Astyanax mexicanus: one gene and its partner. The protein of the gene in region 1 purifies or fractionates together with the protein of each later gene. This does not show direct contact. Links are inferred from orthologs where the notes say so. Each region holds a gene or a part of one and is shown in the gene's direction. Other genes may lie near its edges.

Region 1 (16,214 bases):
GATATATAAATATATATATATATATATATATATATATATATAATGAACTCTGATATATATATAATGAACTCTGACATATATATAATGAACTCTGATATATATATATATAATGAAAGCGATATATATACATAATGAAAGCGATATATATATAATGAACTCTGATATATATATAATGAAAGCGATATTTATACATAATGAAAGCGATATATATATAATGAAAGCTGATATATATATAATGAAAGCGATATATATAATGAACTCTGATATATATATATAATGAAAGCGATATATATATAATGAAAGCGATATATATATAATGAACTCTGATATATATATAATGAAAGCGATATATATATATAATGAAAGCGATATATATATATAATGAAAGCTGATATATATATATATAATGAAAGCGATATATATAATGAACTCTGATATATATATATAATGAAAGCGATATATATATAATGAAAGCGATGTATATATAATGAAAGCGATATATATATAATGAAAGCGATATATATATATAATGAAAGCGATATATATATAATGAAAGCGATATATATATAATGAAAGCGATATATATATAATGAAAGCGATATATATATAATGAACTCTGATATATATATATATATAATGAAAGCGATATATATATAATGAACTCTGATATATATGTATATAATGAAGCGATATATATATAATGAAAGCCGATATATATATATATAAATATATATATATATATATATATATATATATAATGAAAGCCGATATATATATATAATGAACTCTGATATATATATATATATATATATATATATAATGAAAGCGATATATATATAATGAAAGCCGATACATATATATACATATATATAATGAACTCTGATATATATATAATGAAAGCCGATATATATATATATATATAATGAACTCTGATATATATATATAATGAACTCTGATATATATATACAATGAACTCTGATATATATATAACGAACTCTGATATATATATAATCAACTCAGATATATATATATATAATGAACTCTGTTATATATATAATGAACTCTGATATATATATATATAATGAACTCTGATATATATATAATTAAAGCGATATATATATATATAAAATGAAAGCCGATAAAATAATAAAAGTCGATATATATATATATATATATATATATATAATGAAAGCCGATATATATATATATATATAATAAAAGCTGATATATATATAATGAAAGCCGATATATATATAATGAACTCTGATATATATATATATATATATATATATATATATATATATATATATATATATAATGAACTCTGATATAAATATAATGAACTCTGACATATATATAATGAACTCTGATATATATAAATAATGAAAGCGATATATATACATAATGAAAGCGATATATATATAATGAACTCTGATATATATATAATGAAAGCGATATTTATACATAATGAAAGCGATATATATATAATGAAAGCTGATATATATATAATGAAAGCGATATATATAATGAACTCTGATATATATATATAATGAAAGCGATATATATATAATGAAAGCGATATATATATAATGAACTCTGATATATATATAATGAAAGCGATATATATATATAATGAAAGCGATATATATATATATATATATTGAAAGCTGATATATATATATATAATGAAAGCGATATATATAATGAACTCTGATATATATATATAATGAAAGCGATATATATATAATGAAAGCGATATATATATAATGAAAGCGATATATATATAATGAAAGCGATATATATATATAATGAAAGCGATATATATATATAATGAAAGCGATATATATATAATGAAAGCGATATATATATAATGAAAGCGATATATATATAATGAAAGCGATATATATATAATGAACTCTGATATATATATATAATGAAAGCGATATATATATAATGAACTCTGATATATATAATGAAAGCGATATATATATAATGAACTCTGATATATATATAATGAAACCGATATATATATATATAATGAAAGCGATATATATATATAATGAAAGCTGATATATATATATATAATGAAAGCGATATATATAATGAACTCTGATATATATATATAATGAAAGCGATATATATATAATGAAAGCGATATATATATAATGAAAGCGATATATATATATAATGAAAGCGATATATATATAATGAAAGCGATATATATATAATGAAAGCGATATATATATAATGAAAGTGATATATATATAATGAACTCTGATATATATATATATAATGAAAGCGATATATATATAAGGAACTCTGATATATATATATAATGAAGCGATATATATATAATGAAAGCCGATATATATATATATAAATATATATATATATATATATATATATATATATATATATATAATGAAAGCCGATATATATATATAATGAACTCTGATATATATATATATATATATATAATGTCCCAAGACCAAGCGTTCCCCGACTTCCTTCGCTCTGCCTTGGAACAACAAGGAGCTGTTCTTGGGAGGCACCACAACCAACTAGACTCAATGTCCAAAACTATGGAGAACATGACAACAAGACTAGCTGACCTGGCGGCCCAGATCCAGCACCTCCACCTCTCCCGGACAGCTGCCACGGCTGAAGCTACACCTGCCACCCAAGCCGAACCGACCCCTATGACACTGTCAACCCTCCATACTCCCGAACCCCGTTTGCCCCCTCCAGAACGGTACTCAGGTGAACCTGGCAGCTGCCGCGCTTTCCTCACCCAGTGTGACTTAGTCTTTCAACTCCAGCCTATGACCTTTCCGTCTGATCCAGCCAAGGTGGCGTATATCATAACGTAACTTTCGGGGAAAGCCAAAGAGTGGGGAACATCAGTCTGGGAGACAAAGCAGCCATTCTGCATGATCTACAAAGATTTTGTGGAGGAAATGAAGAAGGTCTTTGACAGGTCGAAGTATGGGAGAGAGGCTGCCAGAGAGATGTTGGTCATCCGCCAAGGCAACAGGTCAGTTTCTGATTTTGCTATCCAGTTCCGCACCCTGGCCACCTCGAGTGGCTGGAACTCCGAGGCCCAGCACGACACCTTCCTCCATGGTCTATCAGAGGCAGTAAAAGACCAACTAATAGCCCAAGACCCCCCTAAGACTTTAGACGACCTTGTGGACCGTGCCATTCGTATTGATAATCGCCTGCGACAACGCCAAGGAGGGGGGTTCTTCACCAGGCTTCAGAGTGTACCAGGCTGCACCGTATCCACACATCGGTCTACACTAGGCCTGACCCCACCCCCACCTCCCACACCAAGCAATGTCGAGCCCATGCAGGTAGATCGTACCCGGCTGTCACCTACAGAGAGGCAAAGAAGAATTCAGTCCGGTTCCTGCCTCTATTGTGGTCAGTTGGGACATCTGGCTGCCACCTGCCCGCTAAAAGCCAACGCTCGCCAGTAAAGCGAGGAGTACTGGTGAGCGTGACTCCTGTTAACCCACCCTCTTCCATTCCTTGCAACCTGTTCCCTGCAGTTTTAGAATGGGGCCAGCAACGTCAAACCTTTCAGGTGCTTATTGACTCAGGAGCTGACGAGAGCTTCATTGATGCTTCTCTAGCCTCCAAGTTGGCCATACCCACATCTCCCCTTCAAACACCCTTACTGGCAAGGGCTCTGAATGGAGCATCTCTGGGAGAGGTCACTCACATCACCTCTCCAGTCAGTCTCACTCTGTCTGGCAACCACCGTGAGTCGATTACCCTATGCCTTGTTGATTCCCCTCAAGCCCCCCTCGTCCTGGGCACCCCCTGGCTAGCCAAGCACAACCCTCTCATTGACTGGTCTAAAAACAAAATTGTTGGTTGGAATCAGTCCTGCCATTCCCAATGCCTGCGCTCTGCTATGCTTTCAGAGTCCCCTAGCCCGGAACCCCATGAAGAGTTCCCTGACCTGTCTGAAATTCCCCTAGAATACCTGGATCTGAAGGCGGTGTTTAGCAAGTCCCGAGCCATATCCCTACCCCCGCACCGACCCTATGACTGTGCCATAGAGCTTCTACCTGGCACATTCCCCCCCAGAGGTGGTCTATATTCGCTCTCTCAGCCTGAGACTGTGGCTATGAATAAATATATATCAGAGTCCCTAGCTGCGGGTATCATTCGCCCCTCTTCCTCACCAGCAGGTGCCGGTTTCTTCTTCGTGGGCAAGAAGGATGGCTCACTTCGGCCCTGCATTGACTATCGAGGACTAAATGAAATAACTGTCCGAAATCGCTATCCCCTTCCTCTTATGTCCTCTGCCTTTGAAATGCTTCACGGTGCCACGGTGTTCAGCAAATTGGATCTCCGTAATGCCTACCACTTGGTCCGGATTAAGGAGGGAGACGAGTGGAAGACCGCTTTCAATACCCCCTCTGGCCATTATGAATATCTTGTCCTCCCATTTGGACTGACCAATGCTCCTGCCTTCTTTCAGGCTCTTGTTAACGATGTCCTCAGGGACATGCTTAATAAGTTTGTTTTTGTTTATTTGGACGACATCCTCATTTTTTCGAAGTCCTTACCAGAGCATATTGCTCATGTCCGAACAGTCCTTCAACGCCTCCTGGAGAATCGGCTCTATGTGAAGGCAGAAAAAAGTGAGTTCCATCAAGACACCATCTCCTTCCTGGGCTTTGTGGTCTCCACGGGAACCCTACAAATGGATCCTAGCAAAGTGCGGGCTGTGGTGGAGTGGCCCGAACCATCTACACGCAAGGAGCTACAGCGGTTCCTTGGTTTTGCTAATTTTTACCGCCGGTTTATCAGGAACTATAGCACCCTGGCAGCCCCCCTGACTTCTCTCACATCTTCCGCTGTGGCCTTCCACTGGTCCCCATCTGCCAATAAGGTCTTCCAAGCTTTGAAATCTTGTTTCACCTCTGCCCCCATCCTCGTACAGCCTGACCCTGACCAACAATTCATTGTGGAGGTAGATGCCTCAGATGTGGATGTGGGGGCTGTCCTCTCCCAGCGCTCTACTAAGGATCAGAAGGTACATCCATGTGCCTTTTACTCCCACCGGCTCTCCCCCAGTGAACGCAACTATGACATCGGTGACCGAGAGCTCCTGGCGGTGAAATTGGCCTTGGAGGAGTGGAGGCATTGGTTGGAGGGGAGCACATTGCCATTCCTGGTCTGGACTGACCATAAAAATCTGGAATATCTGCGCTCTGCCAAACGCCTGAATCCCCGTCAAGCCCGCTGGTCCCTCTTCTTCTCCAGATTTAATTTTACCCTCTCCTATCGCCCTGGGTCGAAGAATGGAAAACCTGATGCCCTTTCCCGTTCATTCAGCAGTTCGGACAGTACCCCTTCCCCCACCACTATTCTCCCTGAACGCTGCCTTGTCGGCGCCGCCATTATGGACATTGAGTCACTGGTACAGAATGCTCAAGACTCTGAATCCACCCCCAGTCAGTGTCCGTCTAATTGTTTGTTTGTCCCAGTTTCTGTCCGTCCACAGGTGCTGCAATGGGGTCACTCCTCCCACCTGTCCTGCCACCCTGGAACCAGACGAACCCAGTCCTTTATCAAGAGACGGTTCTGGTGGCCGTCCATGGGGAGAGAGGTCCGCCGATTCGTCTCTGCCTGTCCAGTCTGCGCCCAGAACAAGAGGCCTACTTAACCTCCATCAGGTCTATTACAGCCTTTATCTATACCCAAGAGACCCTGGTCCCACATTGCCCTTGATTTCATTACCGGCCTGCCCGAATCTAACGGCAACACTACCATTTTAACTGTGGTTGACCGGTTTTCTAAATCTGTTCATTTTATCCCTTTGCCCAAACTACCATCTGCTAGAGAGACCGCTAATTTGCTGATAAATCATGTTTTTAGACTGCATGGGCTCCCCGTAGAGGTGGTCTCGGACAGGGGTCCACAGTTTACATCTAGGTTCTGGCAAGCCTTTTGTAAGATGCTTGGTGCTTCAGTCTCTCTCTCTTCTGGTTTTCACCCGCAGTCTAATGGCCAGACGGAGAGGGCGAACCAGCTTCTGGAGACGGTTCTACGCTGCCTGGCCTCCCAGAACCCCTCCACCTGGAGTCAGCAGTTGCCCTGGGCCGAGTACTCTATCAACTCGCTCACCTCCTCTTCGTCTGGTCTGTCACCCTTTGAATGCTGCCTGGGTTACCAACCGCCCCTGTTCCCCGACCAAGAAGTGGAGGTTGGGGTTCCCTCTGCCCAAGCCTTCGTTCGTCGCTGCCGTCGGACATGGCGCCAAGCATGCTCTGCTCTCCGACGTGCCTCGGCCAGGATCAAGAAACAGGCGGACAGGCATCGCACCATGGCCCCTCGTTACCAGGTGGGCCAGCGTGTTTGGTTGTCCACCCAGGACCTTCCACTTAAGGTGGACTCCCGCAAGCTGGCACCCCGCTTCATCGGCCCCTTCCCGATTTGTAAACTTATCAACCGGTCTGCTGTTAGGCTGAAGTTGCCCCTCATCCTTCGCCGCATCCACCCCACTTTCCACGTCTCCCGCATCAAGCCATTCATTTGTAGTCCCATGCACCCTGCCCCTGTACCCCCTCCTCCCCCCCGACTCATTGATGGCTCTGATGCCTATACAGTGCGTCGGCTGCTGCAGGCCCGTCGACGGGGCCGTGGCTGGCAGTATCTTGTTGACTGGGAGGGTTACGGCCCGGAGGAGAGGAGCTGGGTCCCTGCGCGCCAGATCCTCGATCCCTCTCTCATCAGGGACTTTCACCGTCGGCATCTTGCCCAATCCACTGTTACGCCGGGAGGCGTTCGTTGATGGGGGGGGTACTGTAAGGGTTCTATCTGCGGGCCCCTTTGTCTCCATCTGGTGGACATTTGTGGGTATTGACCTGCCTTTTTGATCTGAACTCTGAACCTTGATTGTCTGTGATGCCATCCACCTGTGACTGTTTGACCTTGTTGTTTCCTTGCCTCTCATTGGTTCTTTCCCCCCCTCCTGCCTTATTTAAACCCTGGATTTTGGGTAATCTGCCTCGGATTGCCGTGCCGTGCCCTGTCAACGTTTTGTGAGTTATTCCTGTCTTTATCCTTCGTGCTGTTCTGTTGTGTTTTTTTCTCTCTGAAAGGATTTAAGTGGGATTTTTGTGAACCTGTTTTTTGTTTGGACAATTGATGGACTGTTTTTGTGGGTTTTTGTTGGACACTCGATTAAGTGGGATTTTTGGGAATCTGTTTTTGTTTGGACAATTGATGGACTGTTTTTGTGGGATTTTGTTGGACAATTGATTAAGTGGGATTTTGGGAATCTGTTTTTGTTTGGACAATTGATGGACTGTTTTTGTGGGTTGTTTTGTTAGATATTTTTTGACCTGCTTAAAGGGATATTTTTGTAGAGATTTTTGCTCCAACCTGTGGATTTTTAGTTTGGTATTTTTGGGAAAAGGTTTTTGTCCTGAGAAGAGGAAGTTTGTGTTGTATTCTTTGTTTGACCTAATAAATCAGCACTCTCCCGATTTCTCTCTGCTTTTGGGTCCAATTTCTAGAGCCCTGACATAATGAAAGCGATATATATATAATGAAAGCCGATACATATATATACATATATATAATGAACTCTGATATATATATAATGAAAGCCGATATATATATATATATAATGAACTCTGATATATATATAATGAACTCTGATATATATATACAATGAACTCTGATATATATATAACGAACTCTGATATATATATATAATCAACTCATATATATATATATATATATATATATATATATATATATATATATATATATATATATATATATATAATGAACTCTGTTATATATATAATGAACTCTGATATATATATATAATGAACTCTGATATATATATATAATTAAAGCGATATATATATATATAAAATGAAAGCCGATAAAATAATAAAAGTCGATATATATATATATATATATATAATGAAAGCCGATATATATATATATAATAAAAGCTGATATATATATAATGAAAGCCGATATATATATAATGAACTCTGATATATATATATATATATATATATATATATATATATATATATATATATATATATAATGAACTCTGATATAAATATAATGAACTCTGACATATATATAATGAACTCTGATATATATATATATATAATGAAAGCGATATATATACATAATGAAAGCGATATATATATAATGAACTCTGATATATATATAATGAAAGCGATATTTATACATAATGAAAGCGATATATATATAATGAAAGCTGATATATATATAATGAAAGCGATATATATAATGAACTCTGATATATATATATAATGAAAGCGATATATATATAATGAAAGCGATATATATATAATGAACTCTGATATATATATAATGAAAGCGATATATATATAATGAAAGCGATATATATATAATGAAAGCTGATATATATATATATAATGAAAGCGATATATATAATGAACTCTGATATATATATATATAATGAAAGCGATATATATATAATGAAAGCGATATATATAATGAAAGCCGATATATATATATATATATATATATATATATATATATATATATATATATATATATATATATATATATATATATAATGAACTCTGATATATATATATATAATGAACTCTGATATATATATATATATATATATATATATATATATAATGAACTCTGATATATATATATATATATATATATATATATATATATATATATAATGAACTCTGATATATATATATAATGAACTCTGACATATATATAATGAACTCTGATATATATAATGAAAAATATATATATAATGAACTCTGATACATGTATAATGAACTCTGATATATATATAATGAAGACCCTTTAATGTTAAGACCCTTTAAGAGGTAAACGGGTGGTCCGCACAGTCAGCCTGAGAGACTGCAGGTGGCGTTGTGGTTCAGCCGGCCGCAGCTCTTCGCGCAGGGGAGGCCGACCACCGGCAGGCAGCGAGGCTCATTCTCTCCACGGAGGTGCGGCGCGACCGGCCAAAGTGTCAGGGGGCGAAGGTGGCAAACAAGCTCCGGCCCGCGAGCTGCTTTCCCCGAGCCGGGGGCGGTCTACCAGCATACAATATATATATATATATCAGCTTTCATTACATATATATCAGAGTTCATTATCTATATATATACATATCAGCTTTCATTATATATATATATATATATATATATCAGAGTTCATTATAAATAAATATCAGAGTTCATTATATACATATCAGCTTTCATTATATATATATATATATATATATATATATATATATATATATATCAGAGTTCATTATCTATATATATATATATATATCAGCTTTCATTATATATATATATATATATATATATATATATATATATATATATATATATATATATATATATCAGCGTTTATTATATATATATCAGCTTTCATTATATATATATATCAGAGTTCATTATATATAAATCAGCTTTCATTATATATATATATATATATATATATATATATATATATATATATATATATATATATATATATATATATATATATATATATATATATACATAAATAATAATTGTATATATGTTTTTAATTTGGTAAAATCAAAGAAGCTCATCATTTTTAGGTGTTTTCTTTTGCTCTCTCCAGAGCTGTATTTCTTATTCTTTATGTAGAGAAGTTACCAGTCCTATGTGCCCTAACTAGTGCCCTAAGTAAGTGAATTGGATACGCCCAGGAGAGTCCGCCAATCAGAGCCCAGCCTGCCTCCCGTAGCCCCGTCCTGTTGGTTGTCTCGGTAACCGGGACTCAACGCCTCTCGACCAGCAGCAGCAGCGAAAACACGGAGGATCCGGTACAAATGAGAGTAAAAAGAGAACAAACCGCTTCATATAAAGTCGAATCTGAATAAAACGGATTACGGGCTTTTCTGCGGACCGGTACAGAGCGCTGGGGTAAGAGTGCAGGCTGTTATTCGCTGCGGTTTATCAGTTAGGCCCCGCTATTCGGGTAACGTTAGTAGTGTGGAGGGATTAGCTGCTGTTAGCTAGCGATGCTAATACAGCTAAATTAACTTGTTACCAAACAAACCGGTTCATTTAATACAGAATACAAACTAAACCGGATTAAACCCGCACATTTACACCATTACAGCGGGGTTTTCTGTCAGCGAGCGGGCTGTTCACTTAAATAACATTTATTTTACTAAACAGATAACTTACAGTGTATTAGCTGTAGCTATCAGTTAATGGGTTATATGGGTTTAACTTTTATAGTTAAGTGTTTTTATTATTATTACAGCTAAAGGCTTATTTAAGCAGTGCCACAGAATATACATTAACATATTTTAATAAAGAACCCTGTTTTTTCTGAATCATTTATTTATTTATTTATATTTTTACTTATTTACTTATTTTTTATTTGTACAGCTCTGAAAAAAAATAAGGGGCCATCTAAAATGATGAGTTTCTTCCTCTGGAATATAAATCAAGAGGATCAAAAATGGATGATCACAAGCCATTAAATCAAACTGAACTGCTTGAATTTTTGCACCAGGAGTAAAGCAGCATAAAGATATCCAAAAGCAGTGTGTAAGACTGGTGGAGGAGAACATGATGCCAAGATGCATAAAAACTGTGATTAAAAACCAGGGTTATTCCACCAAATATTGATTATTTCTGAACTCTTAAAACTTTATGAATATGAACTTTTTTCTTTGCATTATTTGGTCTTTGGTTATTCCTTAAGTTTTGTTATTTTGTGCATTTCTCATTTACTGTAAATAAATGCTCTAAATGACAATATTTTTAATTGGAATTTGGGGGAAATGTTGTCCATTGCTTATAGAATAAAACAAAGAAAAACAAATCAACCTTTATTTTTTTATTCTGTAATACAATGAGGGCAATCCTCATTTTCAGTGCAGCTGAGCATTTGCAACTTAAACATACTGGAAATTAAATTGAATTTAAAATAGTATTTAATCAGGTTAGAAAAACGAAACAATAAAGATTTAATGACAAAAGCGTTAGAAAAACAAGCAAACAATTATGACCTAATTAAGAAGAAATAAAATAATTTCGAATAAAAAGATAAGTGTACATGCTTAAATTTAAAGCTGAATTTAAAGTTGAAACCGTAGAAGACTAAAATATTTGAGTTATTAGTTTATAGATCAAAACATCATTTTATTAAACATTTACCTATGAATAGCAAAATCAGAGAAACTGATTCAGAAACTGAAGTGCTCTCTTCATTTTTTCTAGATTTTTTTTTTGCCAACTATTACTTTTTAGATCCCTAAATGTTTTGAAGCATTACAATTGAATTTAAATAAAAAAAGAAAAATATAATAATAATTAGAAAAATTGCTGTGGTGGGTCACTTTTATTATTATTTTTTTTTTATTATTTTATTTCATAGGCTGAGATGATTGAGATCTATATTTTGGAATTATTGTGATTTTGAGATTCTGTGTATATTTCTTGCTGCTGTTCGCTTTCTGTTTCTGCCTATCAATGTGAATGATTCTTTAACTTTATAAAATATATTTATCTTGTATTTTTATGTATTTAGTGTTGTGTTAGGGTTTTTTTTCTCAGGATGTTTGTATCCTCTGTAACTCTCAGGCTAATTAGCTGCTGGTTTGGTGATCAGGGATCTCACTGTGTTCTGTCCCCTGTGTTTATTACAGGTATGGCTGTGTATTTTGATCACCGGGTTCAGGCTCCAGACAGCAGTGGATCAGCAGCTCTCTTAGCCTGGCACTCCTCTCAGCCCCTGCTGGCAGTCGCTTCCATCAACCCTGCATCCGGAGGAAGTGTAGACATCTACCTGCAGCAGGTAAGAACAAGTGATATTGCACTTACTGGCCTCTTTATTAGAAACACCTACTAACTCCCTTCAGGGTTCGTACGGTCATGAAAACCTGGAAAAGTCATGGAATGTGAAAATAGCAATTTCCAGGCCTGGATAAGTTTAGCTCACACATTTTATTATTAAGTCTTTCTTTTAGATTAATTTTAGCCACTATAATCAATTTTACTTATAGTTTTAGTTGATGTTTAGTTTTATTGTCCATGTCTGCACTGATGTCTTAAAAATCTAAAAGTCATGAAAAAAATCATGAAAATCTTTTGGTTAAAAAGTCAATGAACCCTGTATCTTGTGCTTCTTTCACTCAAAACTCTAAAAGTCAGCTCACTGTAGTCACTAAATAATGTTTTATAAACTTATTTTAATTTCTAACCACCTTCAGACAGATTATAATTGTTTTAGTTGAGTTATTTTATTTATTTGTCTTTTTATTTATCATTTTTTTTGTTTTACTTTTTAGTGTCTTTATTTGTCTCATTCCATGTTTTTTATTTGCCTTTTACCTTTTTATTTCATTTATTTGATCCTTTTTTATTGTCTTCTATTTTACCTTTTTTTTTCTATCACTCACTTTCTTTATAATCTTATTGTTATTTTAGATACTCCATTGTTTTAGACAATTATTCATTTAATTATGCTTATTTTTTATTATTCTAATTATGTATTTATCTCTTTATTGTATTGCTTTACATTTTAGCATGTCCATTTATCCTTTTATTCTGAATTATTTTATTTCTTCTCAATTAAGTCTTATGTTGTTTGCTTGCTTGTTTTTTTATCAAATATATTTTTCAGTACAACAGTACTGTTGGAATGTCCTAAAGAAGAAAGTCATCACTGGTGTACTGACTGGTGTACTTTTTAAGTCCTTAAACCCTTTAAGTTTTAACTGCTCGGCTGCATTAAAAATGAGTGTTCCCCTCAATGTATTACCAAGTGAAGATGGATAAAAGTTGATTGATTGATTGATTGTTTATTAAAGAAACCTCTACAGTACCGTGTGGTTGTGTGTGTGTTGTAGGGGGAGCATGTGGAGTTGTGTCATGTGGAGCGTGGGTTCAGCCCGGCGCTGCTGCGGTGGCACCCCACTAAACCCCTGCTGGCGGTGGGCTGGGAGACGGGCGAGACCCTGCTCCTCACACACCCCCACGGAGAACAGACCCTCCTGCCCCAGAACACACACACCGCCTGCATCACACTGCTGGAGTGGAGCTCCAGTGGAGCCAGACTGGTGACTGGAGATGAGGTGAGCTCCATCACTTCCTGACCACGTCCTGTTTCTCTTTTTTAGAATCAGACTCTACTGTTAAAACAACTAGAGTCACTTAAAACAAGACAAATTAACTGTGTCTTAAGTTAAATTCAAAGTGTTCTGCATGTTTACTAGGGCTGGGTGTCGCTACTGATCTACAAAATCGTTCCAATTTGATTTATTTCGATTCTGAATCATGCAGCATACAGGTAATGATAACATGTACATGTAGTGTATTTTTTGCACTATAAGGCCCACTGGATTATAAGGCGCATTTTATGTAACTCTAGTAAGGAACAGGGGTGTCGCCATGTTTTCTTTCTAATACAATAAAGCTAAGCTAAGTAAACAAAATTGTAATTCTTAAGGAAAAACATTTTAGTCGAGTCAGACAAGTCAATCGATTGCTGCATGTTAATCTACACAAATTTCTCACCTGAAAACTGTTTATTTACAGTTAACTTAGATTTACAGATTTCCACTACAGCTGGAGCATTTGCATTAGCGGCTAACTGCTAACGATAATGCCTTTTGCACGTTTCGAACCACACATGGTGTACTTTTCCCGTCGTTACGATAGCAAAGACACACTGACGCTCCAAGTCAAGCTGCACGGTGCACTAATGACATGCCCTGTATCTTCATCATGATAGCAAAAAAAAAACGTAATTTTTAATTAAAGTCAAAGTAAAAAGAACAATTCAAAGAACAAGTGCAATATTTACATTATGGAGAAAAACGGTGGAAAAACAGCAAAAATGGAGATGCTCATTGTGTGTGTGTGTGTGTGTGTGTGTGTGTGTGTAGGCAGGGGTTCTAGCCTTGTGGAAGGTGGATGCTAGAGGAAGACTGCATGGGAATCATGTGACCAAACAACAATACAACAAACCCCTAACCACCTGCATCTTCAGACCCACACCTCCCACAGAGTAAGCACCGCACCTAACCATCACCTAACATCACTTTACTGTACCTCACATCACCTCACATCACCTCACATCACCTCGCGTCACCATACATCACCTAACCATCACCTAACATCACCTCATGTCACCTCACTTCACCTTAAACCCCTTAACATCACCTCACACCACCATACGTCACCTAACCTCACCTCACATTACCTCACATCACCTCACACCATCATACATCACCTAACATGACCTAAAACCCCTTAACATCACCTCACATCACCTCACATCACCTCGCATCACCTTACCTCACCTCGCATAACCTAACATCACCTTACCTCACATCACCTAACCTCACCTCACATCACCTTACCTCACATCACCTAACCTCACCTCACATCACCTTACCTCACATCACCTAACTTCACCTCACATTACCTTACCTCACATCACCTTACCTCACATCACCTAACCTCACCTCACATCACCTTACCTCACATCACCTAACTTCACCTCACATTACCTTACCTCACATCACCTCACATCACCTTACCTCACATCACCTAACTTCACCTCACATTACCTTACCTCACATCACCTCACATCACCTTACCTCACATCACCTAACTTCACCTCACATTACCTTACCTCACATCACCTCACATCACCTTACCTCACATCACCTAACTTCACCTCACATTACCTTACCTCACATCACCTCACATCACCTTACCTCACATCACCTAACTTCACCTCACATTACCTTACCTCACATCACCTCACATCACCTTACCTCACATCACCTAACTTCACCTCACATTACCTTACCTCACATCACCTAACCTCACCTCACATCACCTTACCTCACATCACCTAACCTCACCTCACATCACCTCACAGCACCATACACCATCATACATCACCTAACATCACCTAAAACCCCTTAACATCACCTCACACCACCATACACCACCATATGTCATCTAACGTCACCTAACATCACCTAAAACCCAAATATGTTTACCATTAAATTGGACTTTTGCTAATGTTCATTATTGTGCATTACATTTTTTCAATAAATAAGTGGGTATACATTGATTTTGTGTTACACACATGTAATTGTGTGTGTGTGTGTGTGTGTGTGTGTGTGTGTGTATGCAGGGATGTGGCGATGTTGGCGAAAGCAGCAGTCAGTGGTGATGAAGATGCCCTGGATAAGTTTAATTGGAGGAAGAGCAGTAAAGGGGGCGGGGTTTGGTCTCCTGGGTCACAAGAAGGACTCACTATCTACGCCAGCACAGCCGACGGTCAGACATACACTGCCTACTTAATATCAATATCAGTATCACTACTTCAGTATTCAGAATTAAGTTCGTATAATGTTCATATCCAGCTCTAATAATATTCTTTACCAGAATAATTCAATAGTACATCAATAAACGTCTATTTTTTGGTCTATTTTCATACATAAGGCGCACTGGATTATAAAGCACATTTTAAGAGACACTATAAGAAACTTCTAATTCAGCAGGTCTTGCCTCTGGTGGTGGTGGGGGGGGGGGGGGGGGGGGTAGCTAAATAAGTTAAGTAAAGCTAAGCTTAAGTAAACAAAACTGTAATAAAAAAACCTTTCTTTTAAAGTTAAAAGAGTGCTGAATGTTAATCTACACAGATTTCTTTCCTGAAAACTGTTTATTTGGGTGAGTAAATCGCTTCAGTTTATTTACAGTAAGCTTACATTCCCGAATTTCTCCAGCACTAAGGCTGGAGCATTAGCATTAGTGGCTAACCTTTTCAGCAGCGCTATCTGGGGTTAGAAGCAGGTTACACGCTAATAATACTTCTCTCTAAAAAAAGGGAAATAGCGGTTAGCGGCTAATACTAATGCTATTGTGTGTGTGTGTGTGTTATAGGGTGTGTGTACAGTGTGGATGACCGGGGGCGCAGTGTGTCCCTGCTGACTGTAGAGGGCAGAGTGCAGAAGATGTTTTATTCGGAGCGCAGAGCCATGCTAGCTGTGGTCACCGACTCCCTGCTGCTCTCACAGTTCAGCCTCGGTCCAGAAGGAGGAGCTCAAGAGCTGAGCAAGGTAATGTCATGTTTTAAATATTTACTACAGCAAAGCTATTTTAAAGAATTTAATTAGTGTGTGGGAG
Region 2 (16,836 bases), on another chromosome or scaffold:
ACTGAAGTTTAGTGAAGAGAAATGATTGTTGTGCAGGTCTGATCTGCAACTACAGGAAACGTTTAGTTGAGGTTTTTGCTGCCAAAAGAGAAATCAACCAGTTCTTAAATCCAAAGGTTCACATACTTTTTCCCCTCTTACTGTAAATGTTAACATGTGTTCAATAGAAGTATGCATATAATTTTTTGTGTGGTATTGGTTTAATCAGACTGTGTGTGTCTATTGTTAAATAAATCCATCATCATTTATGTCTACTCAAAATGTTATTCCTTGGGCTTTTGCGGTTTAGATGAAGATCAGAACACATTTAATGATTATTTTATGCAGAAATCCAAGTAATCCCAAAGGGTTCACATACTTTTTCATGCAACTGTAGGTACTCATATTTGTACAATTACTCTTATAGTTTCTCCTACAGGTACTCTTTTTTTTAACTTATTGAACTTATTAAGATCAAGTATTATTCACCATTTTACAGTCATTTTACATTCAGGCCTTATGATGGTTTTCATATAATTATTTTCATTGACAGTCATATACACTCCATTTAGATTACACAATTACAGTTGGTCTCAAAGCATTATTAACATTGCCGGACATTTTTAAAGCCTTATTAAAACTTCTTAGCACATTTTCACCCATAGACACTACCCAAGATTCATACAATGGGACAGTGGTTTTGAACCAGTTCACAGTTATTCCCCAATTTTTTTGCTGCAAATAAAACCAGATCTGGTTTCTATTGTCAAACCCCTGAGGGACAGCTCTCAACAGTGATACCAACGGCTCTTTCGGAACAGGAACATCAAAAACTGACTGAAGGGCATCATAGATATCCTCCCAATACTTTTTTGTTTTACACAGGACCAAAATATATGAACAAAATTTGAGGTTCTTTCTTTCACATTCCCTCCAGCAATTACTAGATGAAGATCAGCTGATCCTCGCAGTAATATGTGGCATTCTTAAATATAGCTAGCACTAGTGGAAATCTGGAAATCTAAGCTTACACGTTTTCAGGATTGGAATCTGTGTAGATTAACATCCAGCGCTCGTTTGACTTAAAATTATTATTATTAATTTTTTTAAAGAATTACAGTTTTGTTACAGGTCTACCTGCTGATTTAGAAGGAAAACATGGCAACACCATAATCAAATGCACCTTATGTATGAAAATAGACCAGATTATTGATAGTGTGCCTTATAATCCGGTGCACTGTGTTTTCTTGTATTTTCACACTGGATCTACAAGACAAATATAGTATACAGTAACGGACCTGCATTATTCAGTAGATAAGTTAATGATGTAGCTTCACTGAAAAAATAAACCCAAAACATCTTAGCTGATCCTGTAAAATCTTGCGTTTCGTTGTCAGTAACCTGTTCCTGTAATGATCACTCACCAGAGAAGCGTATGAGTGCTTTGGCTCGAAGAGTGTTTAAACCGAGAGGCTGCAGTAACTCAGCAATCGGTTCCCATTCACTGGCTCTGGTAACTTCAGCAGATGGGTAACGCTCCAAAAACTGCCACAGTATTGGAATTGCTGCCTTTCCTACTCATACAAACAAGATAAATCACATAAAATAAAAAATCTAATTAAATCAGATTTACTGTCACATCACAGAGTACAGGTATACAGGTGAGTGAAAAACCTGTGCAAGTTCTCACAGTATGCAGATAACAACATATTTACAATATAGAGTAGAGTAAAAAAAATGAACAGAACAAACAATTTACCTAAATATACAATAACTCATTAACATTATAGACAAATGGTATTGCCCTGTGGATATAAGGTAAAATATAACTGAATATACAGATAATACAATGCTACATACATGTGCAAATATTTAGAGTATGTGTGTGGAAGTGCGAAGTTAGTCCAGTAGGTATCAGAGTAATTATGAGTAAAGTGCAGATACAGAATGAGATACTGATACTGATGAAACTGGCTCTCATCAGGACCAACCCAGGAAAGGAAGGAAAGAGTTTCCTCTGTTGCACAGTATAGGTTCATCAGCAGTTACCAGCATCAGAAACCGCAAGTTAACAGAAACCAAGATAAGAGCACCTACAGAGTATTTTGGTTTGTTTAATACTTTTAAATTACCACATGATTCCTTATGTGTTCCTTTATAGTCTGAATCACTTTACTATTCATTTACTATGTAGGGAAAAAAAAGTTGAATCAGAAGGTATACTTTTTGACTGGTACTGTATATTAATATATATTTTTATTTAGCCAATCTTACATTGATTCATTTTTTTACATTTTCTTTATTGTTAAAAGCTTAGTCTTAAGAAGAGGAAAATGTGTGATTAATTGTGATTAATCTGATTCTTTATTTGTAATGGGTTGACACCACTAATTCTTATATCTCATTTTTGTATATGTAGAGTTTTGTGAATATCTCTGTAAAACTGCATGTGGGATCATTGTGAGAAGTGTATTTCTGGCTGATATTTACCACTGGTCTTGTTGAGGAAGATGGTGGCGACTAAAAGCTTCCAGGGATCATGAAACAGGGTTTCTTGGACCAGATTGAAAGGGGAACGTGGTGGAGTCCACTTTCTTAATGCTTTGCGTCTTGGAGGACTGAGACCTCGGGAAGAGAGAGAAAGAAGGCCATAATCTTTACAGTAAAAGATTTACATATTAAAATTACAGGATTCAGGGGAACCTACCATCACTCTTTCTAGTAAAGTAAGGACTGGTTCTCCTCTTCTCTGCCAACAACTTTGTCCCTATAACAAAGAGGTGAAATAAATGCTATTGTGCAACAACATAAATCACTATGGTACAGAAGAATAATGAAGAATACTGAAGAATGAGACTGATTTATCATATTTTAAACGTGTTCACTATCTACTACTTTAGTTATGAGGATTTTATTTTGGTGCAATGTAATTAGGGTTCGGATGGGTGTATTTTATTTAGTTTGCTTTTTGAATCATAAACATTAAACACAAACAAGTCAATAATGTAATGTAATAAATACAAAAATAGAAAACATGGAAATCTGTAAATAAATTAACTTTTAAGAAATTGTTCTAATATGACATACAGTATAATATAATTATACATATAGTATAAATATAAATAATACAAATTGGATGAACCTAATGTGTAACTAACAATTATAGTCAAAGATAAAATTATGTATTTTAAAGATCAGTATCAGCCTAAGTCTATTTTCAATATAGTAAAAGAAGGGCTGCCACACCTTAAAAACATGTTCAATTTGTTTCTTAGACAGTAGGAGATTCTTTCTAGGAGTATATGCTGGTTAAATTTAGAAATACACATTTGGAAAGGAATATTGGTCTCGAGTTTCCAGGTACGAGCAACACAAATTTTAGCTGCTATCAAAAGGATTTTAGTGAACTATTTTTAAGGTCACTGTTGGTAAAATAATCCAATAGGCTGAATTTTGGAACTATTGGGAAAAAATATACCAAGAATATCAAATTTAGGGCATGATCATGTACAGTTGTACAAAAGTAACATCAACAACAACAACATCACATCCAAATTTCAATGAAAATTATGCAGCTTATCTGGAGTATAATAAAGTGGGTGTAAGAAAATTAAATTTAATTCTCTCTACATCCTGAGTTTGTGATAGACGTGTCGCCAACTCTACAAAGATTTCCCCACAAATTTGGATCTATCAAACCCAGTTGTTTTTCTCCGTTTGATTTAATATGATGATATTTTATCATATTGTGATACATTTTAAATCATTTCAGCAATATGCCTTTTTTAAACCAAAACGTCAAATTACTGTGATTGTTTTAATGTCGCTATATAATAGGTTTACTACAACAGTCTCTGTCGGTATGTTGTCAAGTACAGCACTGGCAGTGCTTTTATACTGTATATATTAATATCAGAATTACATCTTATTGACCGAAATTAAGAAACATATTTTGATATATATTTTTGCCTTATTGCCCAGGCCTATTGTCCATAGTTTTTGAGGCAGGCAGTGCTGAGGGGGAAACTCACCGCTGTTTGTGTTTCTGGCAGGCGAGTAGCTCCCCCCTGTGGCCTCGTTACTCATCTGTTCTTCTTTTACTGCATCTCTCTCCTTTCTCTCCAGCTCTTCTACATTCTCTCCTTCACTCTCTGAGGCAGGCTGTACTGTTAGTGCTGGTGCTGAAGACACGCTGGGTAACTCATCCTCCGTTTTAATATTTCTGTTTTCCGTTTCCTCTCCGAGTCCGTTTTCTTCATGCCGTTTTGTCTGGTTCCTCCTTTTCTTTTCCGTTTTGATTCTTCCATTTTCTGTCACTACTCCATCCTGCGGTTCTGGATTAGGGCTATCCACAGGTTTCTTTTTCTGTTTTAAACTTCTCTGCCTTCCTGCTTTACTTTCCTGCTGCTGAGCTGCTTCACTGTAGTGTTTGGGTGAAGTAAAGTCAAACATCTCCAGCTCTAGGTGAGAATCAGCACATTCATCTGACTGCAGGTAGTTCTGGAGCTGCGACTTGGATCGAAAGCGTCTGCCTTCAGGACTGACAGTGAAGCACATTTACGTTAAATATATCAAGATGAAAAACAGAATACTGCTTATTTTCACTTATATTATAGCATTATGACTGAGAAGAATAACATAATACAGTAAGACTGTAATTCCTGCACCTGAGTTATACAACTTGCCTTTTATGTTCGTTGCATTGTTGTTTAAATGTTGTTTAGACTAATAACAACACATTTTTGTTAAGATTTACTCTGAATAAAGGGATTTTTACAAATTATATAAAGTAAAATGTTAAGCCCTTTAAAGGTTAAAATAAAATAAAAGGTTAAATAAATAAAATAAGGTATAAAGTTTGTTTAGAGGTTGTATAAAGGTACTTGGGATTACTTTGCCCCCTTTAAGAAAGCAACCAGGGACATCACAACCCTCACACTGTTTTACTTTTAAGGGACTGAGCACTTTTACTTAAGGAACAACTTCACTTAATATTAATTAAGTGAATATTTATATTTTAATATTTAATATTTAATATTTCACTTATATTGTTTCATATTGTCTCCATACTAATGTTTACCCTGTCACTGTAAACATTCAAAATAACTGAATTAATAAAAAAAAATGAAAAAGAATATTTGATACAGAAGAAGTTCATCATAAAAATATAACTTATGCAACTCTAGCTTAACCACATTTTCATCAATTGAAGTCCACCCTGGTGTGCAGATTACCATGACAGAGTGGACACATATAACACTTTACTTACAATAAAATAAAACAATCTGATACGTTTGAAAAATAGTTAAAAGGTGTCTTAAAGCTCCACTAGGTAGGATTGAGATTTTGTGCTCGTGGGCTCGCCCTACAGTCGTAGAGTGTAATAAATGTTTTAGGCGGATTAGTTTCTCTTTCTCGTTTTCTGTCTTTCACAGACATATTCGGTCTGAACTGTTAGAACTAAAGGTCGGAAAGCAGGTCGGAGGAGCTACGGCACAGACACGAGAGCACCGCTATTCTTCCTATTCCTAGCGCTGCAGTGAGTTTCAAACTGTAATTTTACTTCTTTAAAAATATCAAAAATCAAGGAAATCCTACCTAGTGCTGCTTTAAGTCATCAAAGTAATAAAAAGCCATAAGGCGTAGAATTCTGATAATGTCCCAAAAATTTGTTTTTGTAGACATCCTTCTAATAAACACCCACCTGATGATGTAGGTGTCCACTTTTCCTGCTGTCTTCCCCCGTTTCCTCTGCCTTGTCTCTCTGGTCCAGCCAGAAGGGAGACCCTGTGTGGTCATTCTTTTAGTGCAACACACAGAATCTAGCCAAATCCAACTGAAGCAACAGAAACAAGATTTTCCACAACATTCAGATAAATCAGAATATAATGATATTATGTATTGAATAACTAACATAGACATATTGCTTTACCTGTACATTTGAGTTACAACTAATGAGCCACCAATTTCACTGCATGTTTTTTAGCATTTCTGTGCAAGGTTTCCAACCAAAGGCGTGATAAGTATCTCCATTTATTACTCAGGTAGAGGTATAGATAATAGGGTTTAAAACACTTCTGTAGAAGTTGAAGTATCAACTCAAGCTTTTTACCCTTTAAGTAAAAGTGTAAAAGTACTGGTTTCAAAACAACTTAAAGTATAAAAGTAAAAGTAATGTAAAAGTAATGTAAAAGTCACTACTTACAAAAGCTTAGGCCGTGCCTCAGAGCATACCTGTCAAGTTTTAGATTTAAAAATAAGGGATATTTTCCTCTGTACGCTTAAAGCCGTCCCACCAGCCCAACGAAGGTTCAGTATCCCTTACATTTTAAGACAGGTTTACAAAAAATCTAAAATAACCACAAGTGAACCACTTACACACTACAATCAGATTATAAGAATCTGAAATGTTGTGGACATTCCTACATATGTCATTCTTTTAATACAGCCAAATTAAAAATCGTTTTCTTTTTTTAAAAAATTAAGATTTCATGTCTTTTTTGTAATAAATGCACTCTTTTATATGATATATTTTTTATTTATTTAATGGATTTAAAATTGAACAAAGGGTGCACAAATTCTGCAAAATGACTGTTGGTGACCTAAACATAGTATCATGAGCTTTTACTAAAAGGACATGGACCAGATATGTTTCATCAGTAAATATTTGTCCTAAGGGGCCTACACAATAATTTTTAATTAATACTTCTTTCTTTTGATCACTCCACCCCTGATCAGTTCAGTTAATTTCGGTCCTCTCCAAATTTCTAGTTAAACTGAGTCACAAGCTGTAAATTAGTTTATTTTAAAAGGTTTAATCTGTGTGTTTTATTTCGGAGACGAGTATTTTAAAGCAGCTATCAGAAAAATCGCTTGTATATCCAGATCTGTTTTAACATCAGCAGCTCCAACTGCGACGGGGGGCTTCCCCACACTGACCCTCCTTTGCAAGCTGATTGGCTGTTTCTCCTGAAAGGCGGGACTTTCTCCTTGAACCGGCTCCACGATTGGTTAAGAGACACAGAGCGGTCAGTGCCATGTCTCCTCAATAATATATATTTTTTTATTTTAATATAATACGGGAAATTTACGGGAAAATACTAATACGGGAGGACGGCGGGAAAGACGAGTAAAATACGGTAGTTTCCCGGCCAAAACGGGAGACTTGACAGCTATGCCTCAGAGTACTATAGTGCACTACATCCCCCACCTCCTTCCCCAAAACACATTTTTCTAAAAGCCATAAAGACTATATGTTATATTAAAATGTTAATCTTTATACATTTGGATGCACTAGGCTCCCTGTTTTAGCTGCATATATAAAGGTGTGCAGGTGTGATGGATGGTATAAACCAATATGGTGTCGGAATGGTATATGTTTATACTTTTCTCTTCCAATCACAATCAGATTCACTCTATCCTGATGGAGAGATTTATCTTATTAGGGGTTTTACTGAAGGATGAGAAGCCGTCATAAAAACAAGCTGAAATTAAATAGGAGTAACGAAACTATTTTTAAAATGTAAGGAGCAGTACATTTAGATAATTGTTTGAAAATGTAAAAATAATTACTCTAGTAAAGTATACGTAATCAACATTAATACTTAAGTAATGTAGGTTTGCCTGGTTAACAAAGTATTTGTACTTCATTAACGTACATCCCACCTCTTTCCAACAGACATAAGCAGAGTTTTTTTATTAAATAAAATATTTTGAACTGTCATTGTTAAGTATAAAAATAGTTTTGATATTCCTCACATGACATGAGCGCCACTATGTCCCGTAGATTTCTGCCGTTTTAAACTTTTCCTAGTTTGTTTATATTTCTGTCTCACTGAAGCTTTGGTGTGTTTATAATTCTTCTTCTTGTAAAACCTGATTTCAGCACCTACCTTACTACTGCCACCTACTGTACTGTGGAGCTTCTCCGAGGACCTTTATCAGATTAAAATTTCAGAGTGAACTGGATCTTCTGTAGCTAGCTCAGCTACTTTTATAAATAAACAACCTCAAAAATAAACAATAAAAAAACAACCCTTTAAAAAACATGGTGACTCAAACATAATTTTAATGAATTAGCTGCCATTTTGCACATGCAAAAGTACAACGATAAAACAATGAATACTGTATCAAACCATTTTTTTCATTGTAGAACTCACTTTATTTAATTCAAAACAAACATTAAAAAATCAATGAAAACACTAAACAATCTGTGATTTTTCCTTTTGTACCATATCCCTATTTTATTTTTCATTACTTATAGTTAAAATGTTTCTATCTGTAAAAGTTAATAAATATATAATTTAAAAAATATGCCTATTATGCTAATAAATTTCATACAAAAATATAACAAAAATATTAGTTAGTTAGTTAGTAATTAATACATTTCCTTATTATTATTTCTTTTGATTATTCAAATACAAATAAGACAACAAATTGTTGTTTTCAAAGAAGACATACATGTATCACATATATCTAAGTGATTACGTCAATTTTAAATGATTTGATACAGTCTGTAATGTAAAGAAAGAGCAGAAAGTGGAGTACAAAAACATAAATTATCTTAAGCAGAGACCTATAGCTTGTTAGCTAGCTATGTTAGCTACAATTGTAGATAGAATTTAAGATAATAAAATTACATACAGGGTTTTTGTTTTGCAAGGTAACTACATGTCCATAAAAAAATCTGGGATTTTAACAGTGTAACTCTACATTTATGAATTAAGTCATTTATTTTCCTGAAAGTACCAAAACTTTTTTATAGCATCGAGTACAGACTGTGTACAATTTTTATCACAACATAAAAGAAAAAAAACATAGAATCATTTATATCGCCACATTGTTAAAGTATATATATATATATATATAATACATTTTAAGTTAATAATATTTTATAAGTAATCTCTCTCCAGAAACATGAAGGAATATTTTAAGTGTGCTCAGCAAATTTTCTAAACATGGGTAGCGGGTCCTCAGAACTTTTATTTTGACGGGGTGACGGCAGAGCTCCGTCCGTATTACACCGGAGACCTGTTGATATCGCCACAAAGCGAATTTTAACGAAATATTTAGCATTAAAAACAACGATGCGAGCTGTTCCCACATGGATAGATAAAGTACACGACCGGGATAAGGTTGAGCAGTGGTGAGACTCGCTGGTTTATAAACTGCTGGCTTTGTTTGTGTGAATTTTGATCAGTGGATGTGGTTAGCAACGGCGGTTACTATGTAAACCACTGGAGGGGTTTGTCAATATTAGCTTACTAGCTTATATTGGCTATGTGGCTAAGCTAACGATATCTACATAAATTTGTAAAGCGAAATATGTCGTTTGTGTAGTATTTAGCAGCCTGGCGGTGCAGCAGCAGGGTATTTTCTCTGGTTTCTGCTGTTGTTAAGTTGCAATACTGGATAAAACACAACCTAGCTTATTTAGCTTAGCTAACCAGCGTTAACAACCCTAACGGTTTAACCTAGCTTAAGCTAGCCTTTCATTTTAACTAGTTCATGTAAAAGTAACTTAGCTAGATTACCAAAGCAGTGTCGGTAACGTTAATGTTTACTGACAAACCAAAAACATATTTACGCGTCTGAATTAAGCATTTTAAACAAAGCAGGGCATAGCTGTAGGTGTATGAGAAATAATGTGTAGCTCATAGGTTTGCCACTCGTCCCGTAAAACACAGAATCGTCCTTTATTTGGCAATTAAATGTTGTTAATTAAATGTGGTTTGTTCGGTAACGTTATTTCCATAAATGTCCAAAACACATGTCTAACACACAGGTTCTGTTACAAAGTCAAATTAATGATTCATTCATTTAATATACAGCAGTATTAGCCAAAATAAGTATTATATATGGTCATATAAAGAACAAATCATACTAATGGATTAACAGTTAAATAAATAAATAAACAAATACATAAATTAACTTCATTTGAGAGAAAACCTTTATTGTAGAGCTTTCTCTGTATTTTGTATCAAAATGTTTGTATTTTTGGGGAATACAGTCTTCAGTGATTATTACATAAGTTATATTATTACAGTGGTGTAACTATGCACAAAAATATTCTACCGCATAACAAATTGTAAAATAATAATAATAATAATAAAAATAATAAATTGAAATTAAAATAAAGTGTATGTATATAAAACATACCACTGCTGCTGGCACCATGCCACACAGAAGTTGAGGAGCCATGTTTGTTTGTTGTTTATTTCTGATAGGTGGCAACTCTAGTAGTTAACTAGCTAGGTTAGCTTGCAGGCCAGTCTGTCTATTCTGTGGTTGTGTGATTCTGTAAATTTGTCATAAACTAAACTGCAACAAGCCAACATAAACTAATCTGAATAAACAAGCCAACATAAACTGATCTGAATTAAAAACGGAATCTCTTTGATGTATTGCTTTGTCTTCCTCTGTGTGGCAGCATTTATGACCTGGCGTTCAAACCAGATGGCAGTCAGCTCATAGTGGCAGCTGGAAACAGAGTGCTGGTATGTGGTGCTTCTTTTATGAAAGGATTTTTAGTTGTTTATAAATTCTAAGCTAATTTATTTAAGCTACATTGTACAAATGTCTGTAAACATCTCATCCAACTTTAAAAAAAAAAATCTAGGGTATAATTATAGAAATAAATGTGTTCTGAATCAAAAACATGCCATATAGCCCACCCTCAACTTGGTCAATATAAATAGATAAATGTTTTGTTATATTTATTAAGGTAAGTCAACAAAATCAAACAAACAAAATATTGAAAAACATGGCAAGTTATTCTGTAAGGAAAAAAAAAAAAACAGTAAAAGAAATTCTGTATATTTTGACAAAAGTACAGAAATTACAGTACCAGGGACACTGTCTAATTCAGTGTTTTTCTTTAGTTTGTTTTCTACATACTGGTTTATTTAATACTTTTTGTTTACTAAATAATTCTGCATGTCTTCTTGTATAGCTTTAATATAGTCTTCAATATTAAATTTACAATATTATTGGTGGATTTTGTTCTGAGTTTAGTTAAAATGTTAAAACATAAAACAAATCTGCTGCAGGTTTACGATACAGCTGATGGGACCCTTATCCAGCCACTTAAAGGCCATAAAGACACTGTGTACTGTGTGGCTTACGCTAAGGATGGTAAGTTTATTAATACTTAATAATACTTATTAATACTATTTTGGGCTCGGTTTCTCAAATGCTTTGTCTACTTAACTGACAGAAAAAGTATTTAGTGTGATGCTCTCTTTGACATTAGTATTGATCTGGATTTTGAGAGACATATCTCTATATATGTGCAGCGTATGATGCCACTGTCAGTATTTTTTATTCTTGATATAACTTCTCAGAACTTTTCTTCTCTTTGGTCAGGAAAGCGTTTTGCATCTGGCTCTGCAGACAAAAGCATCATTATCTGGACCTCAAAACTGGAGGGCATTCTCAAATACACGTGAGTTTGTGCTACTTTAATGTGATTTATGGTTATGGGGATTGCTATCATAACCACAATTGCTGCTTTATTTCTCACTTTACACTATTAATGGTGTTGTACTTACCACTTATAATCACCAGAGCAACACCAAAGCAACCACCTGGAATGCTTTAGGGCAACCATCTTACATCTAAAAACACCATAGAAACCACCTGGAAAACCAACACATAGCAACAACCTACCCAACTATTTTTTCTGTTTTTAGCTACAGTGCATCAGCGAGCTGGAATTCATTACAGGAAACCCTAAAACCCAGCTCGCTGGTGTCACTAAATCATTTTAAACTTTTAATATCTAACCATCCTCAGACAGCCTGTAACTTATTTAAAATTATTTTGTCTTTTTATTTATCTAATTTTATGTTTTACAAGTAAGCACTTTTATTTTATTTATTTTATTCATTTCATCCTTTTATTTGTTTTGTTACTGCCTTTACTTTTGGCCTTTTACATTTTTATTTCATGTATTTTCTTCCTTTTATTTTAATATATTTTGTACTTATTATTATTATTATTATTATTATTATTATTATTATTATTATTTATTTATTTATTTTAGTTCCATCATTTACATTTTTATAATTTTATATATATTTACATTTATATTAACTGTGTTTATATTTTATTATTCTACGTATTTATCTCTTTGTTTTATTGCTCTACATTTTAGCCTATTTGCATATCCTTTTATTTTGAATTATTTTATTGTTGTCTTAATTAAATCTTACATTGTTTGCTTGATTTTATAATTTAAATGTAAGTTTCAATCCCTTTAATTTTATGTAAGCTCGGCTACATTGAAAATGAGGGTTACCCTCAATGTATTGATTGATTGACTACAGCAATGTATTAGCAATGAGCAAGGCAATGCTTATCATGATACAGGGCTTACAATTAATTTGTGATGTATTGTAGTACTGCTGGCAAAATGATAAATTGCTAATGCAAAGTATAAAAACACACAATAATAATACATTTGAATAAAATCTTCATGAAATAAAAATTGTTTCCTTTTTATCCAATGAAAACAGCAGGATCTGAAGAGAGATTTAGCAGTAAATTTGGTTCCAAATGGAACAAATTAAAACTGTGTTTTTCGGAATCGATACAGTATTGCAAAACATAACATTGCGATATACAACAATCCACTTCACTCATATATATGAGTTTTGAGTCTTTTGACACTGTTTTGACAGTTATAATGTATAGAAATGGGAAAAAACAATGCCATATTACAGAATATGTAAATGATAACTTGTCTCTTACAGCCATAATGACTCCATCCAGTGTGTATCTTACAACCCTGTCACACACCAGCTTGCCTCTTGCTCCTCGGGGGACTTTGGTGAGTGTGTTTGCATGCTACATTTTTTAAATCACTGTTAAAATCGAATTAAACCTTTCAGTAGTTTGTAGCTTTTGGCTCAAATTTTTAGCTTTTTTTTTACTGTGATTAAGCTGATCTAAACAACAAGGTGCACTAACACCTCAACCCTTATCCACTCACAGCTCACCAGCAAGCTGATTGACCCCTTTCACTAAAGAAAGGCAGTTTATGTGGAAAGAGATGCAATGTAAAGGTGTGTCAGTTAGTACATTACCACAGTTGGATCAGGTGTGCTGTAATTAGTATAAACAGTAAAACTTGTGGGGAAGCACTTGTCCAAAACCAGGATTGAGAACCACTGAGCAGCTAATGCTTACTTTCTCTAAAATTTAACACAGGCAGCACTGCTCAAAAATAAATTGGTTTTCACCTCTTATCATACTGTAATTATCTTTTGTGAAGAAGTGTAATAATCCAAAACGGGATACTACTCGAGCTTGACTGCCAGTTTAAACAACCGCAGTAGCCGGCTGTACCTGCTAGCTTACAAAGCGTCCTGCTGTCCAGTGAAGGCTGTTCAGTGCAGTGCTGTAGCATTAGCTTTTAGAATATTAATACATAATTACAACTGTTAAATAATATCATAATTCAGAGGATTCAGTGATGTTTATGAGAAAATGTACACAGAATAAAATGTTTAGGGTGAAAAAGGGGATCATTTGAAAAGGCAATTTATTCTGCCCATTAAAAAATTCATCTTAGACACGGAACACCAAGTATAAGCATACAGAGGACTTCAGAATGACGTCCCATGACTTTTGTCACTTTTACAGTATGGTATATGCCAGTGTAAGTTAAATAAAGCATTTTTAAACTTTTCTACCTAAAGATGCCTAAAGATGTTATTTGTAATTTTTAGGCTATCCGGTACTGGTTTGGTTAATAATTGATTCTTCAAGTCATTGCAAATTAGTTCAAAAGCTCAGGTTATCAAGGAGCACGACAGAACCAAACTTTTGTTCTCAGCTACTTTTCTTTTTTTTTAATCAAAGGTCAAATATGAGAAAAATGAGAAATTAAAATATAAAAACATAAAAAAAAGAGAGAAACGAGAAGAATAAGGTAGAGGAAAAAATGAGCCCCCCCCCCCCTTTCCACACTGCATCAAACTTGAACAGATAATGTCTAATATAATATCTAATATTTTAAAATATTTTTTCCCTGTTAATGTAATGTTAATTTTTTTAGATAAACTGTTTTAAACCATTTGTCATTCGTCTGAGGCTAACTATATGTATTTCAATTGGTTTTGAAGGTCTTTGGTCTCCTGAACAGAAATCTGTTTCAAAGCATAAAGTCAGCAGCAAGATCACATGTTGTGGGTGAGTGATGACAAGTAACATCAGTGTATCACATATGACAACATGAAACACTAGGTTCTCTCTGATGTTTGTCTGTTTGTCTGTCTGTTACTTTAGCTGGACGAACGATGGCCAGTACTTGGCCCTGGGGATGATGAGTGGGGTGGTGAGCATAAGGAACAAGAACGGAGAGGAGAAGGTGAAGATTGAAAGGCCGGGGGGCTCGTCCTCCCCCATCTGGTCTATCGTCTGGAACCCCTCAAAGTAAGACTGCAGTTTAAATGTGTCACAGTTCACTTCATAAATAAATCAGGGCAAGTGAATGTTCATTAAGATACAAACATAGACAATAGGTAATGGTGATGTAAAATATATTACTGCAGAAAGAAATAAAAGTTCAAAAACTTAGAATTATATAATAGAATTTTGTCCATATAGTGTATATTAGTATCAGATGTGAGGGTAAATGCAGGAGCTTGAGCAGGAGTACCAGTGGTATATTTTACTATGTTACATTATCCACCAGGGGGAGCTATGTCACTTCAATTCGCTGGTTAACACACAGTATTTAATGGTTGTGTCCGGACTGTTTTCTCTAAATTGGAGCGGGACAGTTATGTATTGTGAAAGCTGTAGCTGTACTGATCCAGGATCAGCAAGTTAAAGGGGCTAACGCAAGTCAGTGGTTCTCACAAAAAAAACAAGCAAACAAACAAACAAACAAAAATAAATCCAGCCATCTAGAACAGTGGTTCTCAAACTGTGGTTCATGCAAAGCATTTCAGGGTGGTGCGCCAGAAAAAAAGAGCAAAAATCTAAAATGTTTTTACCTCTAATTTTCACAGCATCAGGTTTGTTGGTGTTTAGTGTTTAACCTGGTAGATCATGTCTATAAGTTTAGGTTTTACACTTTAGTTCTTTACATTTTCATAGGTCCAACAGTTGAACCCAGTAAAAGGCCACAATACACAATAACAATAGTTACTGTATTAGTATTAATAGTAAAATATGTAGACACTGTAGTCCACTATTCTCCCACACTACTGTTATTTCCCTCTGTCTCAATATTTTTCACGTCTCAGTAGGCAATACATGCATAATCAATAATCAGTCATTTGCAGGTTACGTAAGGTGTGAAGTGGGTAAGGCTCACACAGTAGCATCAGTAGGTGGTATTTAAATGTTTTGGTTTAATCATGGGTGCTACATTGCTTTAAAAGTTGGAGAACCACTGATATAGGAGATCTGACAAATGGCTTGAGAACCACTACTGTAAGATAGTTGTGGACATGGTCCCCAGCAGAACTGAAGAGTTAAATGATGGGATCATGGAGGAATTGCAGAGTTTGGCAGATGAGGATTTTCTGTACCCACTTGGAAATGCAGTGCTCAGGTAGAGCCGTCAGGGGGAGTGTGTGGAGATGGAGCTGAAGAAACCCTCGCTGACCACAATGTCATCATCGGTTCAGGTACAGGAAAGTGAGTAACAGTCAGATTCTAATAGAGCCTTCAAGAACCAACTAATTTTCCTCAGGAACTAGCTAGCTAGCTACGTGTGACATGAGTATAACTGCTGAGGTACATGTATGAATAAAATTGCACTACTTAAGTTAATTTGATAAGGTGATAAAAATGGCACTGCTAAGGTAATTTTATCACAAATATAGCACTGCTGAGGTAGCTAGGTGGCTAGCTAAATGTGTGACGAGAATAGCATGTCTGAAGTCAATTTAGGATTTGAAAAAAGTAAGCTAGTTACTGAGCTAACTTTATGACAAATTTCAGGTTTTTACAATTATTACTAAGGTAGTTAGCTACAATTATTATTAGAATGGCATTGCTAAAGTAGCTGGCTAGCTAGCTACATGTGATTTTAGTTCCCTAAAACTGCTGAGGTACATTTAATACAAGTATAGCACTGCTATGGAAGATACATGGCTAGCAAAATGTATAAATAGTATAGCACGTCTGAAATCAATTTATGACTACATTTGAACTGCTAAGGTAGAATGACATTGCTACCTATGTGACTTGCACTGCTGAAATACATTCCTTAGAATTACATGGCTAAGGTAAATGTATTGTGCTTTGTTTGGTTTCTCTGCCGGGATATTAAAAATGTTGCCATTTGGTCAAATGTTTCATTTTGTTTGTTTTCAGGCCAGATTTTTCAGTTTGTTTCTTCTCAAATTTGAAGCCTTTTTCTCACTCTGAAACTTAGCTTTACTGTAAAGCTCAGGCTTCACTGTATTTCTCTGTAATGTATCACTGTCTTTTCCCACATGAACCATCCTGTAATGACCCAGCAATTGTTCCAGACTCTTAGATAAATTGCTGCATCAACTTTAGCAGAATTTCCACCACGTTTTCATGGTTATTCCTAACCCCATCCCGTTATTAATTACTGTTACATTCCCCGGGCCAAAGTGCATGTGGGATTGAGTCTCGCTATGAGGACGAGAGTTATTAAGTAGGGAAGTGAAAAATTACATGTCGCTGTTCCATGCAGCTATATAATATTATACTATATTTCCAAATGCTTGTGGACACCACTTGTAATGAATGTATACACCTTACTGCACTGCTGACACTGCAGATGTGCAAAATAAGGGGGTAACAAAACATTGATGTGTCAAAGTATTGCAATATTGTGTTTTGCAATACTTTATTGATTCTTAAAAACAC

What was found.
Region 2: the proteins of ift140 (region 1) and ift122 purify together in Homo sapiens (affinity purification with mass spectrometry; 4 studies listed by BioGRID and IntAct, counting the BioPlex papers as one, with this or other methods). This does not show direct contact. The link is inferred for Astyanax mexicanus from reciprocal best matches to the Homo sapiens genes IFT140 and IFT122.

What each region holds. Positions count from the first base shown.
Region 1 is NC_064413.1:55,769,605-55,785,818, forward strand, and holds the start of ift140 (intraflagellar transport protein 140 homolog), read left to right. Parts: upstream 1-9,810; 5' UTR 9,811-9,974; intron 9,975-11,713; 5' UTR 11,714-11,715; coding exon 11,716-11,862; intron 11,863-12,916; coding exon 12,917-13,141; intron 13,142-13,954; coding exon 13,955-14,076; intron 14,077-15,219; coding exon 15,220-15,365; intron 15,366-15,971; coding exon 15,972-16,147; intron 16,148-16,214. UniProt on the Homo sapiens protein: Component of the IFT complex A (IFT-A), a complex required for retrograde ciliary transport and entry into cilia of G protein-coupled receptors (GPCRs).
Region 2 is NC_064419.1:15,107,462-15,124,297, reverse strand, and holds the start of ift122 (intraflagellar transport protein 122 homolog), read left to right. Parts: upstream 1-8,965; 5' UTR 8,966-9,065; coding exon 9,066-9,124; intron 9,125-10,408; coding exon 10,409-10,475; intron 10,476-11,027; coding exon 11,028-11,112; intron 11,113-11,343; coding exon 11,344-11,422; intron 11,423-12,731; coding exon 12,732-12,808; intron 12,809-14,105; coding exon 14,106-14,172; intron 14,173-14,268; coding exon 14,269-14,415; intron 14,416-15,537; coding exon 15,538-15,630; intron 15,631-16,836. Other genes in the region: mbd4 (methyl-CpG-binding domain protein 4), read right to left, coding at 1,404-1,553, 2,470-2,604, 2,687-2,746, 4,011-4,519, 5,684-5,815, 5,912-5,919. UniProt on the Homo sapiens protein: As a component of the IFT complex A (IFT-A), a complex required for retrograde ciliary transport and entry into cilia of G protein-coupled receptors (GPCRs), it is required in ciliogenesis and ciliary protein trafficking.